Linked DNA regions of Drosophila melanogaster. The protein of the gene in region 3 purifies or fractionates together with the protein of the main gene of each other region. This does not show direct contact. Each region holds a gene or a part of one and is shown on either strand. Other genes may lie near its edges.

Region 1 (7,651 bases), on a different chromosome or scaffold from region 3:
ACTCTACTCACTTGTAAAAGGAGCACATATCCAGGTACTTCTTTGGTACAGCCATCGTCTGCAAATCCTCCAGATTCCGGGTGGACTGAAAATCGCCACAGCACAATAACAAGTCGATCTTGGTGCCGCCAACCTTTTCGATGCCCTCTATGGTGTCGTATATTCGTTCCAGCTCGCCATGTGCACATCCTTCGACAGCTATTTTCATGGTTAATAAAGGTAAGTTACTACTTTATAAATAAAACTTGGTTGTAAACAAATGCAACCGGTTGTCCAAACAAATAACGCGTTCTGATATCGCTTATCGATCGGCAATTCAGTGTGAGAAAACGTCTTTGGGGAACGACAGGATGGACGCTCTTATCGATAACTCTACTTAATGACCGCCAATATTTAAACTGCTGAAATCTTCCGGAAACAAAGTCTTTCAGCACTTAGCATTATTAAATATAATTATATATATTAGATGTACTTATAAAATTCGTTCCCTGAACGGTTTAAATACCTCACAAAAAGGTACACAAATAAGAAAAAGATTTCTCCAGTTCAAACGTTAAAAATTTTTTTTTTTTATTTTTCAAAAATATCGCTTCATTTAGTACAGAATATACGTGTATGTGTGTATAAAGAAAATGTATGTGAAATGCTCTGCGTTGAATTCTCATTCTCTGACCTAGATGCCAACTTTTTTTTGGAGTTCTACGGGGGCGTGCTGGTGGGCACAATCTCATTTAATGAGACCTTCTCGTCCTGACGTGTTTGTTTTTCGTTTCGTTTCGTTTCGTTTACATACAAAGATTTACAATGGACTTAAGTTATCATAATTTAGTTGGCCGCCCTGGCCACAAAATAGGAAATAAAATATAAATCTACAATAAATATAGTGCGGTCTCGTCGCCGCTCGACCGATCGATTTTTTAATCTGATTAATCGACCGATTGTCGCAGCATACATGGGTACACGGAGTGTACGAAAACCAAGAGAATGCCTTCAAAGCCATCATCAGCATGCCAGATGTATTTTGTTTGATGTTTTTGTTATTTTTGGAAAGAATATGAGAAACAATCAAGTCAGAAATCGAACCAAGTGTCTGGTGATCTGGTCAATTCAGTTTCTTAGGAGCCGAACTTAAACGACGTGGGCACGGCAGTCTGCGGAAAGGCGAAGCCACCTTGCTTCTCGATCAGCTTCGATTCCTTGGCGGCTTTGCGTTGGTCAGCCGTCACCACCACCTCTTGCAGCGCCTTGGCTTGCTCAGGTGTGAGGTTGGAGGTCAACAGCGCATACCAGGCTTGGTCTTGTGCAGAAAGTGCTGATGGCGAAGATTAGGTTATTAGTTAGTTTTCCAATGGTGTACAAAATTCAGCACAACTTACCAGTAATAACTTCCTTAAACGTCCAGTACTCATCGATGGCGCTTTCGTTCTCCTCATCGTCGATGGGCGTGGTAAACGACTCCAGTCCAGTCTCGTTCAGATCACCCACAGACTCCTCGGCGTCACCGTCCGAGTCAGCATCGTCGTCCTTGATTTCGGCTTTCACTTCGAAGCCCGACTCATTGCCCTTGGTTTTGGCAAATTCGGCCAATTTATCCAGATAGTCCGGTGCCATTTCGTCCATGTCATCCTCGTCACTGGACAGAGCCTCCTCACAGTCGTCACCGTCCTCCTCCTCCTCATCTTCCTCTTCCTCCTGAGCACGAGACTCGTAGGCGCGTTTTAGACCATCGAAAAGCAAAATAAGTGCGGGCACAATCTTTCCAGCCACTTCGCTCAGAACCTGGGGCTTGGCTTCGCCCAGCGAGATGAGGGTGCACAGACCCAGGACGCAAAGTTTGCGATCGTGGATGCTGGAAAACGTAACAATAAACTATCTAGATCATTAAAAAGCATGTCCATTCTTACCCTAGGAAACAGTCCGTGTCGTGAAGCCACTGCTTGATAAAGTGCGCGCTGATAGAGTCGTTGTTTTGCTGGGACATTTTGTCCAGAATGGACAGCAGCAACTGGGGATTATAGTAGAGTGCCGCGATTACCACTTGCAGGCACATAGTGCGCAGCTCTGAGGATTGAACTTCACGTGTTAACCGGGACAGAGCCAGCTCCACGAACATATGTATCACTGAGTCGATTTGACCCTTGCACTGCAAGATAATCACTTCCATCAGTTTGGCGGCATGGCACTCGGGATCCTCGCCAGGGCTACTAGTAAGCATCTAAAATAAATTATAATTATTATAATTATTATTATAGTTATTCGAGGTTCAGACATATTTAATTATTAAGAATAGAAGCTTACCGTTTTGCACATGTCGAGAATCGCCAACAGCCTGTTGGGATTGGAGAGGAAAGCGGGCGTGTCGACCGTCACATAGTTATGCAGAGCAGGCATAATGTCGATAAAGTAGTCAATACCGTCCTTCTTGAACACCTGATAGATGAGCTCCAGCATCTGCCACATTTCGGGGGAAATGGCCTTGGCTGTCAGGTCGTAGACCAGGGAGAAGGTTTCCTCATAGAAGTCTGAAGAGATGACCAGATATTTTTATAAACGATATCAACGATTGAGGGCACAGCCAACTAACCAGTTATGTTGTGCTGGAAAATGTGTCCGACAACATTAATGACGATCGGGTGCAAGTTAAGCAGGACATCAGGATGCTCTTCCATCACACTGAGCAGAGTTTCGATAGTGTTAAGCAGACTCATGGCCGTGATGGCCTTCTCGTCGGATCCCTCCTCAGATTCTAGGACCTGGCTGAAGGTGGTGGCCAGGTGCTGGCAGATCTCGGTGGCCACGGGCAGCAATTGCTCGGTGAAGGTGCACACGATCTTTTGCATAACGTTTGTTAGATCTTCGTTCTCCGTCTCTCGAATGATGGTAAGCAGCTCCTTGGTGATCTCCTTGATCTGTGCCTCCACGTATTGCGGCGCCTCGTCCTGGGACGATATGAACATCTGCAGACCGATAGCTGCCTCCACTTTGACGGGCAGCTCCTTGTCGGTAAGCAAGGCGTTTGTGGTCAGACGCATTATCTCGGCCAGCACTTGGGGATTCTTGATTTGAACGTCACAGAAATAGTGCAGCACCCAGCACGCGCGCGCTCTCATGTGGCCCGCGGGATTTTGGAATTCTGGGAAGACGTAGGTGGTCAGCATGGACTCCACTTGGTCGCGGTACGAAGCCTTCTTCAGCAGTACGTCCGCCAGCGTTCCAATCATGTGCAAGGCACCATCTTTCTGTTTGTTGTCCGCATTCGGCGATGTAATTATCTGCATAATTGTGGCCATTGCCTTGGGCAAAATGCCCTTGCGCTTTTTGCACATAGAATGCAGCAGAGATTGGGCTGCCGGTACAGGTGTGGCATAATCCTCAAAGATATCTATTGGAATCGGTTAGTAATGTAGTTCAAGTCATTTAAAAAGTTCTCTTACCGAACTTAAGGCGAATGTACTCGTAGGGATCGCTTTCCCAGAGCTCCTGATCGGAGTCAGTAAACGACATGATGGGAAAGATCACGTCCTGGATGACAGCCACCATGTGAGGCTTAATCAGCTTCCAGGTGTAGGCGTGGCTAACCCTGCAAACGGAATAAATAACATTTAAAAAAACGAGTCAACTGATTGGAATCGACTTTTGTAACTGCAATTATAAACACTACATCTTATCAGCTTTAAAAATTTTCAGACTTTCTATCAAAGATTAGGTATCTCCTAATTAAGTAACATCGATTTTACATTCCAACTATATATCAAATGTCACATGAGAATTTATAGAATACTAAATTACTTACGCATTCTTCAGATAGTTGAGCACATCAGTGAGGACGCGTGGTGAGACGTAGACTCTGTTTCGGTACTGGTCGAGGATCTTGAGGAGCACCTCCAGCACGCCCTGGCTAAACGTGGGCAGATACCACTCTGCGAATTTTTGGTATTTTTCACTAACCACATTGCTGGGACTGCCATAACTAAATTTATACATACAACGTTAGTTATCTAGACTATGACTATAGATACTGCCGTCAACGTACCGCTCGAACATGCGAACCATGATGTGCAGGGCCCACTTCTTAGTCTTCCAGTAGGGGAACTCCGTTCGCTCATCATCGTCCAGGTGCGAGCTATCGGGCACTGCGCGATCAGCCACCTGACGACAGATCTCCATCCACTGCGAGAAGATCTCCTTGGTAATGAGGTCCAGTGGAAGGGTGTATTGCGTGAGGGCATAGTAGATCTTGAGAATTTGCTTTTGTAGCAGCACAGATTGCTCGGACTGCTCTGCCAGCAGTCGGACCATCAGCTGGTAGATCATGGGCAACAGTAGGTTCATTGCCTCGTTTAGCGGCGTCCTCTCCTCATGCCGCTTGTACTCGTAGGTCTTGACCAGCTGGTACATGGTTACCAGAGCTCCGTTCCAGCCGTTGACATCCTGGTTTTGCAGATATATGCTGATGCTATCCACCACCTGTGGCCAGCGTCCAGGGAAATCGCTTTTAATGATGTGATTGACGCAGACAGACAACTGGACCCTGTGTACAGAACGAAATTAGCCCCCTGGAAAGGATTTTCAATGGATTTACCCACCTAATCAACTCGGGGGCGTGCACAATAGCATCTACAATAGCGCCACGGATCATAGCCCGATCCTGTTCGTGTATAGAGAAGGGTATTGGCTCTCCAGGCTTGGCCTCGTGGTCCGACCAGCTGCTGTTGATCAGATTCTTGAGGTAGACAGCACCGGCCTGGCGCACCGGCTGTTCCACCGTCGTCTGCATAACGATCTGCAGTATGGTGGGCACAAATCCGATGATTTTGTGTATCTGTGGGGATTTTAATGTATAGAAATAAAATAGAATGGATATGTTTACACAGCTGTTTGGGGTTGGGTTAAATTTGAATTGGTCAAAGAATCAATGGCAGAAGCACTTTAAATTCCGTTCACAGAGCTCAATTAATATGGAGGAGCCAAGAACAACTGCTGGCCATAAGCGCTGATAAAGTTAATTGACAACAGGGGGGTTGGTGGGAGGCGATTGGGAGGGGCATGCAAATCGTTAGATGCTGACTCAGTCGTAATGAGCATGCCTCTACAGTGGGGCCAAAGCAATTGGTTAGTGGGGTGGGGTCTAATTAGACTGGCCGCTCTGATTGCCCACATTTATTTCCAAGGGAATTGCGTAAGCTTCAATCAAAGGGCATTCCGGCGATATTTCGAAAGTCTCAATTAAATATTTATTAACAATTCAGTGGATTTCCGAAGAATCACACGAAACTCGCAATAAATATGTACACATATAGAAATATATATAGCATACATACATATGTAGGTGCCCCAAAGATATCGACTTGTTGCCTCTGGGGCAACAACATAGAAGTCGGGATAATGGTAAACACATAAAGGGCAAACTTTTTGACCGATATCGGATTACACTATCCACACCCACACACTTGTACAACGACCAGAGTGATGAAGTGCGGGAGCGAGGGAGGTTAAAAGCGAACAATTAAAAAAGCACATGGTTTTCAGGCGATGGCGCCACCTCCAAAGACCTTTCGAATTCAAGTGCAGGCGTTTATTTTTGGGAGCAAACTCACCTGGGCCAGTTGATCCTCGGCCGCCTTGCGCTGTTCCGGATTCGGATCAATAGTTGCGCGCAACAGTTCCGTGAGTTTTTGTGCCTCCATTTTTGCTACTTTTGCTTGATTCTATGTTTCGCCGGTCTTTCTGCTGCACTTCGTCGTTTGGCGGTCACCTTGTGCCCACTGTGCACCCGCTGTTCTTGCCTTTATATAGACCTTGGTTTATGCTAGCCGAACCAGTGGCTCCAATGTGTGGGCCAAATTGCAAATCTCTTTTTCCGGAGGAAAAAACGTGGAAAAGACTCCACACACGCACACACACACCGCCGAAATTCGCGAGACGAACGAAGCTTAGAAGAAGAAGAAACAGCGCCTGTGTGTGTTGACTAACGCCGCAGTGTATGGGGCCCTACAGGGCTGCATTATGTTCGCCGGTAACAGTTTAGCCAAAAATTCGAGCAATATTGAAAAGCCTTCGCTGCGGAAAATCTAGGCACCATTTATATATAGACCACTTGCTTCATAAGGTAACTATATTTAAAGGCTTAAAAAACAGCGACTTTTCACAATTCCCGATAAATTGCCATTCAAGTTGCATGGCCAATCGATTGTTGCAGCCCTGGCAGCTGCTCGTACGTGAACACGCGAATGTGTGTGTGACGAAGAGCAAAGTGACACATAGTTGGAGGTGTGGTTGAAAATATATAGAAATCTGGGTTTATCTGCAACTGAAACGAAGGGAAATTTGTGTTAAAGGCGAGCGAAGATCGCAACTGAAGAGCTTTAACTGGCAGCAAGGCAAAAGGACGAGCAGCGACCATGGCAGGCAGGCTACCGGCATGCGTAATCGATGTGGGCACCGGGTGAGTTTTTAGTTTCGATTGCCCGTGGGGGTCTCCAATTGGACGGAAAGGAGGTCGACTGACTAACACTCTGCTTGTCTGCACATCCATCAGCTACTCCAAACTGGGATTTGCCGGGAATAAAGAGCCGCAGTTCATTATTCCCTCGGCGATTGCCATCAAGGAGTCGGCACGAGTGGGAGACACCAACACACGGCGCATCACAAAGGGCATCGAGGACCTGGACTTCTTCATCGGCGATGAGGCCTTCGATGCCACCGGCTACTCCATCAAGGTATGCTCTTGTATCTATGGTCATTAAGCAACCGACATCACATTTATCATTGCATTCCAATAGTATCCGGTGCGTCATGGTCTGGTGGAGGACTGGGACTTGATGGAGCGCTTTCTGGAGCAGTGCGTCTTTAAGTATCTGCGCGCCGAGCCTGAGGATCACTACTTCCTGCTGACTGAGCCGCCGCTAAATACGCCCGAAAATCGGGAGTACACCGCGGAGATAATGTTTGAGACGTTCAACGTTCCTGGTCTGTATATCGCCGTCCAGGCGGTGCTTGCCCTAGCCGCCAGTTGGGCCTCCCGGTCCGCAGAGGAGCGTACCCTTACAGGCATCGTGGTGGACAGCGGCGATGGAGTGACGCACGTCATACCCGTGGTAAGTAGCACAGATCTTATCTTATCAGCAGAGTTGGGTTGGCACTGGATTCGGTAAAAACTGTTTGAAAAGAGAACCCAAAACCGAAACAGTCGACGGATTTATTTAATAAATAAATAGCACATTCTGAGGCTATTATTAATACTACAGAATGTTATATTAAGAGGGAATTATTAAGATAAAATAGCGTATTAGTTATAACCATATAAATATATTAAGCTGTTTTTCATTTCTAGGCCGAGGGCTATGTGATCGGCTCCTGCATCAAGCACATTCCCATCGCGGGCCGCAATATCACCTCGTTCATCCAGAGCCTGCTACGCGAACGGGAGGTGGGCATTCCGCCGGAACAGAGCCTCGAGACTGCTAAAGCGATCAAGGAGAAGCACTGCTACATCTGTCCCGATATCGCCAAAGAATTTGCCAAGTACGACACGGAGCCGGGCAAGTGGATACGCAACTTTAGCGGCGTTAACACGGTAACCAAGGCGCCGTTCAATGTGGACGTGGGCTACGAGCGATTCCTGGGACCCGAGATCTTCTTCCATCCCGAG
Region 2 (4,652 bases), on a different chromosome or scaffold from region 3:
GACTTAAAAATAAAAGACATAGAATTAGAAGTAGGAGATAAAGTTTTACTAAGAAATGAGGTAGGTCATAAATTAGACTTTAAATATACGGGGCCCTATAAGATAGAAAGCATAGGAGATAATAACAATATTACGCTACTTACTAATAAAAACAAAAAACAAATAGTTCATAAAGATAGATTAAAGAAATTTCATTCATGATTGAATTTAAACTTATATTTTCCTTAATCATTTATACAAATTTTCCATACACTACGTATATTTTTATCTTTGCATTATAAAATCAACTATTGTTGTTCAAACAAAAACACAAACAAAATAAAAATAAAAATAAAATAATTTGCATTTAATAATCAAAATAACTTCACTAGGTTACGTTATTTTTCAAAAGGAGGGAGATGTAGTATGTGCCTATGCAATATTAAGAACAATTAAATAAAATAGCATATTAACTTATGGCAGCACTTTGTTGCTATGTTTATGTTTATGTTTATGCACGCAGTTAGGCCAGGGCGGATGTAACATGATCACCCACTCGAAGGCAAAAAGTATAAGTGCATGGTCAGCATTCACACGCCGACCAAATACATATTACATACGTACATACATATCTCGCTCTCCCGATAAGCCTAGATATATAAGATATACATAAGAACGCCGCTCCGCTGCTGGCGTACCCGGCAGCGCAGCTACGCGGATTAGCCTAAGTCCAAATATATAAAAAACTGTAAAATCGGAGAGACTCTGTAGACGTTGAGCTGACAGAACCATTTCTGCCTACTCTAAAATCAAAAGAAGAAATTGAATAAATATATGTCAGCCCGACGGCTGCCTTCAACTTAAAACGGACTTGTGTTCTTAATTGGAGTTCATCATTACATCTCATTCCTTAATGAGATGTTCTATAGGGTTACAATATGACATACACACTTGAGAATAAGAAAGTTTTAATATTATTTCTTGCAACATTTTTGCCCAAGAAGCCCTTGCTGAGTAAAATTTCCAATTACTTGGAATTGTTTAAACCCTATAGTTTGCAAACAAAAAATTGTTGATAAACAGAAGTCAGGTGGGTTTTTAAAGCTGTGGTGTTATGAATTCGGTTTGTGCGCGAGTCCTGCACCTGGGACACCATGACGGACCGATGACCAGGTCAACTCGGTGCGCCATGCAGAAGGGGGGAGTGTGTAGTAATTGTTGTTCGTCTCACCTGACTCACCTGCTTCGTCGTCGCAGCAGACGGTGCAGCTGCAGTTGGTCGCGTGCGGCGTGAGCGTACCCTCATCGATGAGGGACTGCAGCGATTTGCCGCCGTACTTGATCGAACGCTTCCAATCCTTGCTGGAGCCCCGGCCACACACATGCTCAAACTCACTGGGCGTATGCCACTTGTCCTTGTACTTCACACAGCGTCCACGGCCGCCGGAGCCCAGCTTGCTGCGGTATAACTCGGCGCAGGTGGTTTTGCAGCGGATCTGGAAGACCTCATTGTGCTGGGTTGACGGGTTCTCCGACCATCCCGAGGAGCCACCACCCGTTCCGCCGCCGCCACCGCCGACGCCACTCGCTCCGCCCGCGGCGTGCTCCAAGGTGGCCAGGCTGTCGTGGCTATTGTTGCTCCCGGAGCCATCGTGATTCAGTCCAATCGTATTTGTGGCGGTCGTATTGGTGCCCGCATTATTGGCGCCGCCACCGCCGCCGCCTGGTTGCGTCTGCTGTTGCTGGATGACGATCGTCTTGAGGTCGTTGCCCATGCTGACCGTGCTGCCGGACAGGTAGCCATTGTTGTCGACGCACAGCATCGGCTTGAAGTGAGGGGGCAGCTGGTCGGGCGTGATCACATTGAAGGTAGTGCCGGTTATCATCGAACCGATGGGCAGGGATACGGGCACCGAAACCACACCGCCACCGCCGTTTCCTCCGCCCGCTCCGCTTGTACCGCCACTGGCGCCGCCGCTACCACTGTTGTCGTTGGAGGAGGATGTGACCATGCGAACCTTGGTGTCCAACTGCATTACCATAGCGCACATATTCCCACGTTCGTCACATGTATGTGGGTGAGTGTCCAGCGGCCAATTGATGGCGTTTGCGATTTAATTCAATGCGATTTGCACAGGAATCGGGAATGAAAATTCGAATGTAAGTAAACAACACAGCATGGGAAAAATGAAAATCGGTATACACAACATTTGTGCGCCACAAATGCGGTGGGTGGAGGGGGAAAACGAGGAGGAGGAGGCAAATTGGGAGTGGATGGAGGCGAGAAGGCGAGCGGGGAATGCCTGTGGCCCAGTGGGTCGCACGGAGCGTTCCGTAGGGCGCAAGTTGCGCCACCCCCAGGCCACCTAGCCCAACCACCCACCACCCACTTTCCACAACTGCGCAGAGCGAAGCGGAGCGGTTTTCGAGCCAGATTCGGTTTCGGATTCAATAGATAGAACCTGAACCAAACACACAGTCCGGAACCAAAACCACCCCGCCAAAGGAGAAGCGAATGGAAAATCCAAAACCAAATGGGCTCCTTACGCAGCCGTTTGTTGCTCCTTTTTCTTACCTGGTGGTGATGATGATGATGGTGATGGCTGGAGCTTTCTAATATCACCTCTTCTTTCACAACATCCTCGGCCAGCGCGGCCAGATCTTTCCTATTCAGGTGCAGCTCGGTGGAGGAGTCAACCTGTTCCATAGTATTGTTATGCCAGTTCACTTTCACTTATTCTGCGGTCCAACGATAGTAATGCACTTGAATTGTTCATCGGATTACCACTTGCAATTGGATTATTGCGATATATGTATATTATTCGACGTCTACCGAGACGACGGACGGTCTGTTGTTGTTGTTGTTGTTGCTGCCGCCGCGATCCGCGTTTTTTTCAGCGCTCACCACGACTTACATGCGAATTGCGCGCAGGTCGCGTTCAAGTTGCATTGCCCTATTTACAGCTGGTGGTTCATTGCAATTTACATTTTTTAAGCTTAAACTTTACTAATTTACTAAAAAAGTTGATATCCTCCTCTTCTTCCTCATGATAACTAGAGTTGTCATGCGCGTTGCAGCTATCGCCCGCTATCGGCACTATCGATAGTCGTGATTCGTGCTCGCTATCTGTGCCCCATCTCTGGTTTTTAAATATCGGAAAGTTTACAGCTATATATCTTGCATATTAAATTAAGATTTCTGAGAATTACAATTTTAAAGATTTCCTTATGACTTGATCTTAAAACTCAAAATCACACCGAATTTGGTTTTACCATTATTACTCTAAACATTTTCGCTTGTTTATTAATAGGATATATTGATGTTATGAAAACAAGAACGATTTATTACTTTCAAGGAAAAGTTTTAAATTCATGAGAAGAATAAACTATGCTGCTTGTGTTGGAACTACACAGTGTTTCATCTCTAACATACATTTCGATATATCCAATTGGACAGCTAGTTCAGAAAACGGTCACTCTAGCAATATAATGGTAACTATCTGATGATCCAAAATAATAATAAATAGTAAAACTGAATGCTTACAGGCCGATGTGGATGTGTTTATAAGTAATTATACAATCATCGATCCAGAAATTTACCAGCTATGGATCGAAGGCTTCTCCTGTAAGTTTTCTTCTCCCAATTGCAATCTTGTTTCATGTCAAACGGCTCCATCGATTTACAATTATAGCCAGCGAGGCGGTGTCCTATCTGAAACAGAAGGGTTTTGGTCACTCCATGGGCGCTCCCAGCGACCTGATTGCATCGGATGTACTGGATCATTACCGCACCTATTCCCTGATTGAACTATACCTAAACGCACCCACCAAACTGATGGAGCAATCCTGCTTCCAGCTGGAGCCACAAATGCGTGACCTTATCACCGAGAAGTACTATTCCATCGATGATGTGGTGGCTCGCGAAATTCTTGGCAAGAAGCTGTCGTCCCGCTACCGCAAGGACCTCGACGAGGTGGCCGAGAAGACGTGCGTCAAGCTAAAATCAGTTCGGTGGGTAAATTTGGCCGCTACTTAGGCAGAGTAGAGTCTAATATATTTCAACTTCTTCTTCAGCCGACAATTTGACAACGTAAAACGCATTTTTAAGGCAGTCGAGGAAATGCCGGGCACGTTAACCAACAACATCAAGCAACACTTCATCATATCCACCGATCTAGCCAAGTATGAATATAATCAATGTATTGAACTTCAAAAAGCTAAACCTTTCACTCTTACAGAAAGTACGCCTGCATTGTTTTCCTGGCCTGCCTGCGTTTCGAAACCACCAAAAAAAAGTTGCAATACCTGAGCTTCAGTGATTTGTTGACCTGCTCCCATGCCATCATGATCTACTGGACGTATACTTACCAGGTATGACTTAGCTCTGCTAATTCCTTACGAAACTAATTTACTAAATGCAGCACACTGGACCGGAGTACTATGATACCGAAATGGACAAAGAGTTTCTCTTGGACCTGCGGGAGTTGCGCTGTCTACTCGACAAGGAAAAGGAGATTAAGCAGTGAGATTTATTTTTCTACCGCACACGAGCTATTATATAGTTTAGTCCTTGCATTTAGCCTCGTCTGCATGCGCCTCAAACCCGTTCTTCTCGAGCGCGCCTTTCACGAACTGGATGGCAACTTTCGGTAAGGACTTATTTCTCGACATTA
Region 3 (3,273 bases):
ATAGCTTACACTTGAGTTACTCTTTGTTTTACAAGTAATTTCTGACTGTCAGGAATACGACAGCATCATTGTCGCCACTGCGGCAAAGCCGTGTGCGACAACTGTTCCACCAATCGCATTAACATACCCATAATGGGCTTCGAGTTTGATGTGCGTACCTGTGATCCGTGCTACAAACAACTTCAGACAGTCGAGCGCCCCTCGCTGGCTTCATTCAATGACGCCAAGCATTCGATCGTCTACATGGACCTGGACGAGGACAGAAAGCGCCTGTTGACAGTGGGCCAGGACAGGCTCATCAAGATCTGGGATCTCTCCAACATCTGGGCATAAAACATCCTGTACGCACACGCACGTACCAAAGGTATAATCATTCACGAGGCGTTTCGGTCTTAACTGGAACACCCAATTAACGAACGATGTGGCTGGCAACGACCAAATCCAGTCCCTGCTGCTTAGGTTCTCATATAATTGATGTAAAGCAATAATCATTGTATGTACGTATGCTTACATTCAACACATAAATACACGAATCCATCGATTAAGTGGTGTTTTCTAAATGAGTTTTTATTAGATTGTACTTTATACTTAATAGCCACCCCTGCCCGGTGGTGGTGCTCCACGGATCATGCTGGGCGGCGGTCCGCGCATCGGTGGCGGAGCACCGCGTCCCATGTTTCCTGGCATCGAGGGCATGCCGCCGGGAATCATGCCCGGTGGCGGTGCACCCATCATCGGTGCTCGTGGCACTCCTCGTCCCATCGGAGCCATGTGCTGTTGGGCGGGTCCGCCCACACCTCTCACGGGACCCTGGAGACCCGCTGGCACGGCGGACAAGTTGATAGGCATTCCGCGTCCGGCCACGCGACCGATTCCCGGACCAGGAGCTGCTCCCGGAATGGGAACTCGGGGCAGGCCCTCCTCTGGCGGCGGTGGTCCCTCCACCGTCAGTGAAACTATGTTCTCGCCGCGCAGCAATACAAAGCCCAGCACGCGCTTCTCCTCGCGCTCGGGCACCTTGGAATTCTTCGAGCGAATCTTCCGGAACTCCTCGCAGTCGCCGAGGATCAAGTTCATGTGTTTGTCGAAGGCTTTGAAGGTACCGATGAAGGTACGCGAGTCCTGCAGCACGATTCGCACCCGATAATTCAGGTGCTGAATCATTTTGTTGTTCTTGCCGATCGTCTGAAATAAAGGAATTCAAAGGATTTAATTGTGAAATACAATAGCATGCATAAAAGTCGCGCCATCTTTTGTAAACCATTTCGACCCTTTAAAAAAGCCGGTATTTATAAAAATTTTAATAAACCACAGAGTTTGAAATAGCAAATCTCAGCGTAATATCGAAGATCACTAAAAATCATAATTTTAAACAAATATAAAATAGTTAATTAGCCAAAACAAATTGTTTTATTTATTCGCATGCATGTTTGTATGTATGTATGCCTATGTAAATACGAAATCGCAACCGCGAAAGTAAGAATCTATGAATTAATACAACTAAACAAAACTTAACCATTGCAGTCAGATGCTTAAAACAGTGTTTTTACTTACCATTTTATTTGATTTCTATGTTAATTCTATCGCTTGTAAATAAAATACAGATGCCGGAACCTCACCACGGCTTTTTTCGATAGGCATGAAGAATAAATCGAGTGGCGTGTGCGGCGGTCAGCATTTTCTGGTGTCTTTCAATCGAGCCTATCGAATATAAATTTTTTATTGATAATCCACATGATTTTTTAAACAAACATTCGACTATCCCTAGCAAAAGAAGAGAAAAAAATTAAATTTTTTTTAAATCTTATGATAAAAAACGAAAAAAGAAAAAATTTGAATCAGTATGTTTTTTCTCAATTTTTTTCGTTAGAGATGGTCGAATTTTCATTAAAAAAATCATGTGGCGGCACTTATCGATATCGATAGGCAGTGGCCATGTTATCAAACTTATTCTTATTCATCAGCCACGTCATTGTTTATGCCGACATTCTGACAAGTTTTTTTCCGAAGCGGCAAAGCCCTCACATCTCTACTCGTTGGCAAATTAGGCGAAAAGTCATTTTGGTAACGTATGCAGCTGTTGAAACACTGAATGCCGCCATTATTGCTATAGTATACACTCCCATTTTCATATAGGCGTGCGTTCCGTGACGCAGCCGCAGCGAAAGGAAGTAGAACAATCAAACAGCCAACCGGGCAGCCAAGTAGCCAAGTCGGCGGATTAGATCACGATGAATATCTTTCGCTTTGCTGGGGATCTGTCGCATGTGTTTGCCATCATAATACTGCTGCTGAAGATATGGAAGACCCGCTCGTGCGCCGGAATATCGGGCAAGTCGCAGATCCTGTTCGCCGTGGTCTATCTGACGCGCTACCTGGATCTGTTCACCACCTACGTGAGCCTGTACAACTCGGTGATGAAGGTGTTGTTCCTGGCCACGTCCGGTGCCACCGTGTATTTGATGTACGTGAAGTTTAAGGCCACCTATGACCACAATCACGATTCGTTCCGCATCGAATTCCTGCTGGTGCCGTGCGCCCTGCTCTCGCTGGTGATCAATCATGAGTTTACCGTGATGGAAGTGCTGTGGACATTCTCGATCTATTTGGAATCGGTGGCCATTCTGCCGCAGCTGTTCCTAGTGAGCAGAACCGGCGAGGCCGAGTCCATCACCAGCCACTACCTCTTCGCCCTGGGATCGTACCGTGCACTCTACTTGCTCAACTGGGTCTACCGGTACATGGTCGAGTCGCACTACGACCTTATCGCGATCTTCGCCGGAGTTGTCCAGACCGTCTTGTACTGCGACTTCTTCTACTTATACATTACCAAAGTTCTTAAGGGCAAGAAGCTCCAGCTGCCGGCATAAGCGGATGATGGATAAGTGCATAGATGTGGGACATTTGTGTTTTGTCGGCACACATCATCAATCGACGTCAGAGTAAACAAGCGAGCGATCCACGGCCCGTTTGACAACGCGTATTTCGTTCATATTATACAAAAGATACATAATCGAGGGGAGCGCCTAAGTTGTAATTATTTAATGAGAAATAAACCGAAAATCGAAAGTACACTATAAACTATGCAATACCGACATCGTACATTGAAAATGTAACAAATGTATTAATCTCCGTTTTCCGAACTGCACTCACAAATTTTAGAATCCAAAAATATTAAAAAAAAAAATCATTACTCCAGTAAGAGATAACGTTAATTGACAAAATCGAAACAAATGTTTTCTCTTTTGCGCGGAGGCTTATCTGATTCGCAAT

The links.
Region 1: the proteins of SmB (region 3) and msk purify together in Drosophila melanogaster (affinity purification with western blotting, with the first as the bait; one study listed by BioGRID). This does not show direct contact.
Region 2: the proteins of SmB (region 3) and Deaf1 purify together in Drosophila melanogaster (affinity purification with western blotting; one study listed by BioGRID). This does not show direct contact.

The regions. Positions count from the first base shown.
Region 1 is NT_037436.4:8,114,476-8,122,126, reverse strand, and holds msk (moleskin), read right to left. Parts: upstream 5,949-7,651; 5' UTR 5,688-5,948; coding exon 5,598-5,687; intron 4,823-5,597; coding exon 4,587-4,822; intron 4,532-4,586; coding exon 4,034-4,531; intron 3,971-4,033; coding exon 3,794-3,970; intron 3,581-3,793; coding exon 3,435-3,580; intron 3,383-3,434; coding exon 2,585-3,382; intron 2,523-2,584; coding exon 2,299-2,522; intron 2,216-2,298; coding exon 1,905-2,215; intron 1,850-1,904; coding exon 1,377-1,849; intron 1,313-1,376; coding exon 1,116-1,312; 3' UTR 548-1,115; downstream 1-547. Other genes in the region: ldbr (lariat debranching enzyme), read right to left, coding at 12-208; Arp3 (Actin-related protein 3), read left to right, coding at 6,402-6,445, 6,539-6,719, 6,783-7,097, 7,334-7,651.
Region 2 is NT_037436.4:19,816,569-19,821,220, reverse strand, and holds the start of Deaf1 (deformed epidermal autoregulatory factor-1), read right to left. Parts: upstream 3,048-4,652; 5' UTR 2,687-3,047; coding exon 2,555-2,686; intron 2,120-2,554; exon of another isoform or gene 2,031-2,119; coding exon of another isoform or gene 2,010-2,030; coding exon 1,211-2,009; intron 1-1,210. Other genes in the region: fibp, read left to right, coding at 3,469-3,471, 3,526-3,604, 3,672-3,990, 4,054-4,161, 4,218-4,350, 4,401-4,501, 4,560-4,628. UniProt on the Drosophila melanogaster protein: Transcription factor that binds the homeotic Deformed (Dfd) response element. High affinity binding sites contain at least 1 TTCG motif surrounded by additional TCG sequences.
Region 3 is NT_033779.5:10,424,940-10,428,212, forward strand, and holds SmB (small ribonucleoprotein particle protein SmB), read right to left. Parts: upstream 1,689-3,273; 5' UTR 1,558-1,688; coding exon 1,555-1,557; intron 1,186-1,554; coding exon 589-1,185; 3' UTR 544-588; downstream 1-543. Other genes in the region: Wdfy2 (WD repeat and FYVE domain containing 2), read left to right, coding at 53-333; KdelR (KDEL receptor), read left to right, coding at 2,232-2,870. UniProt on the Drosophila melanogaster protein: Plays a role in pre-mRNA splicing as a core component of the spliceosomal U1, U2, U4 and U5 small nuclear ribonucleoproteins (snRNPs), the building blocks of the spliceosome. Involved in germline establishment and development.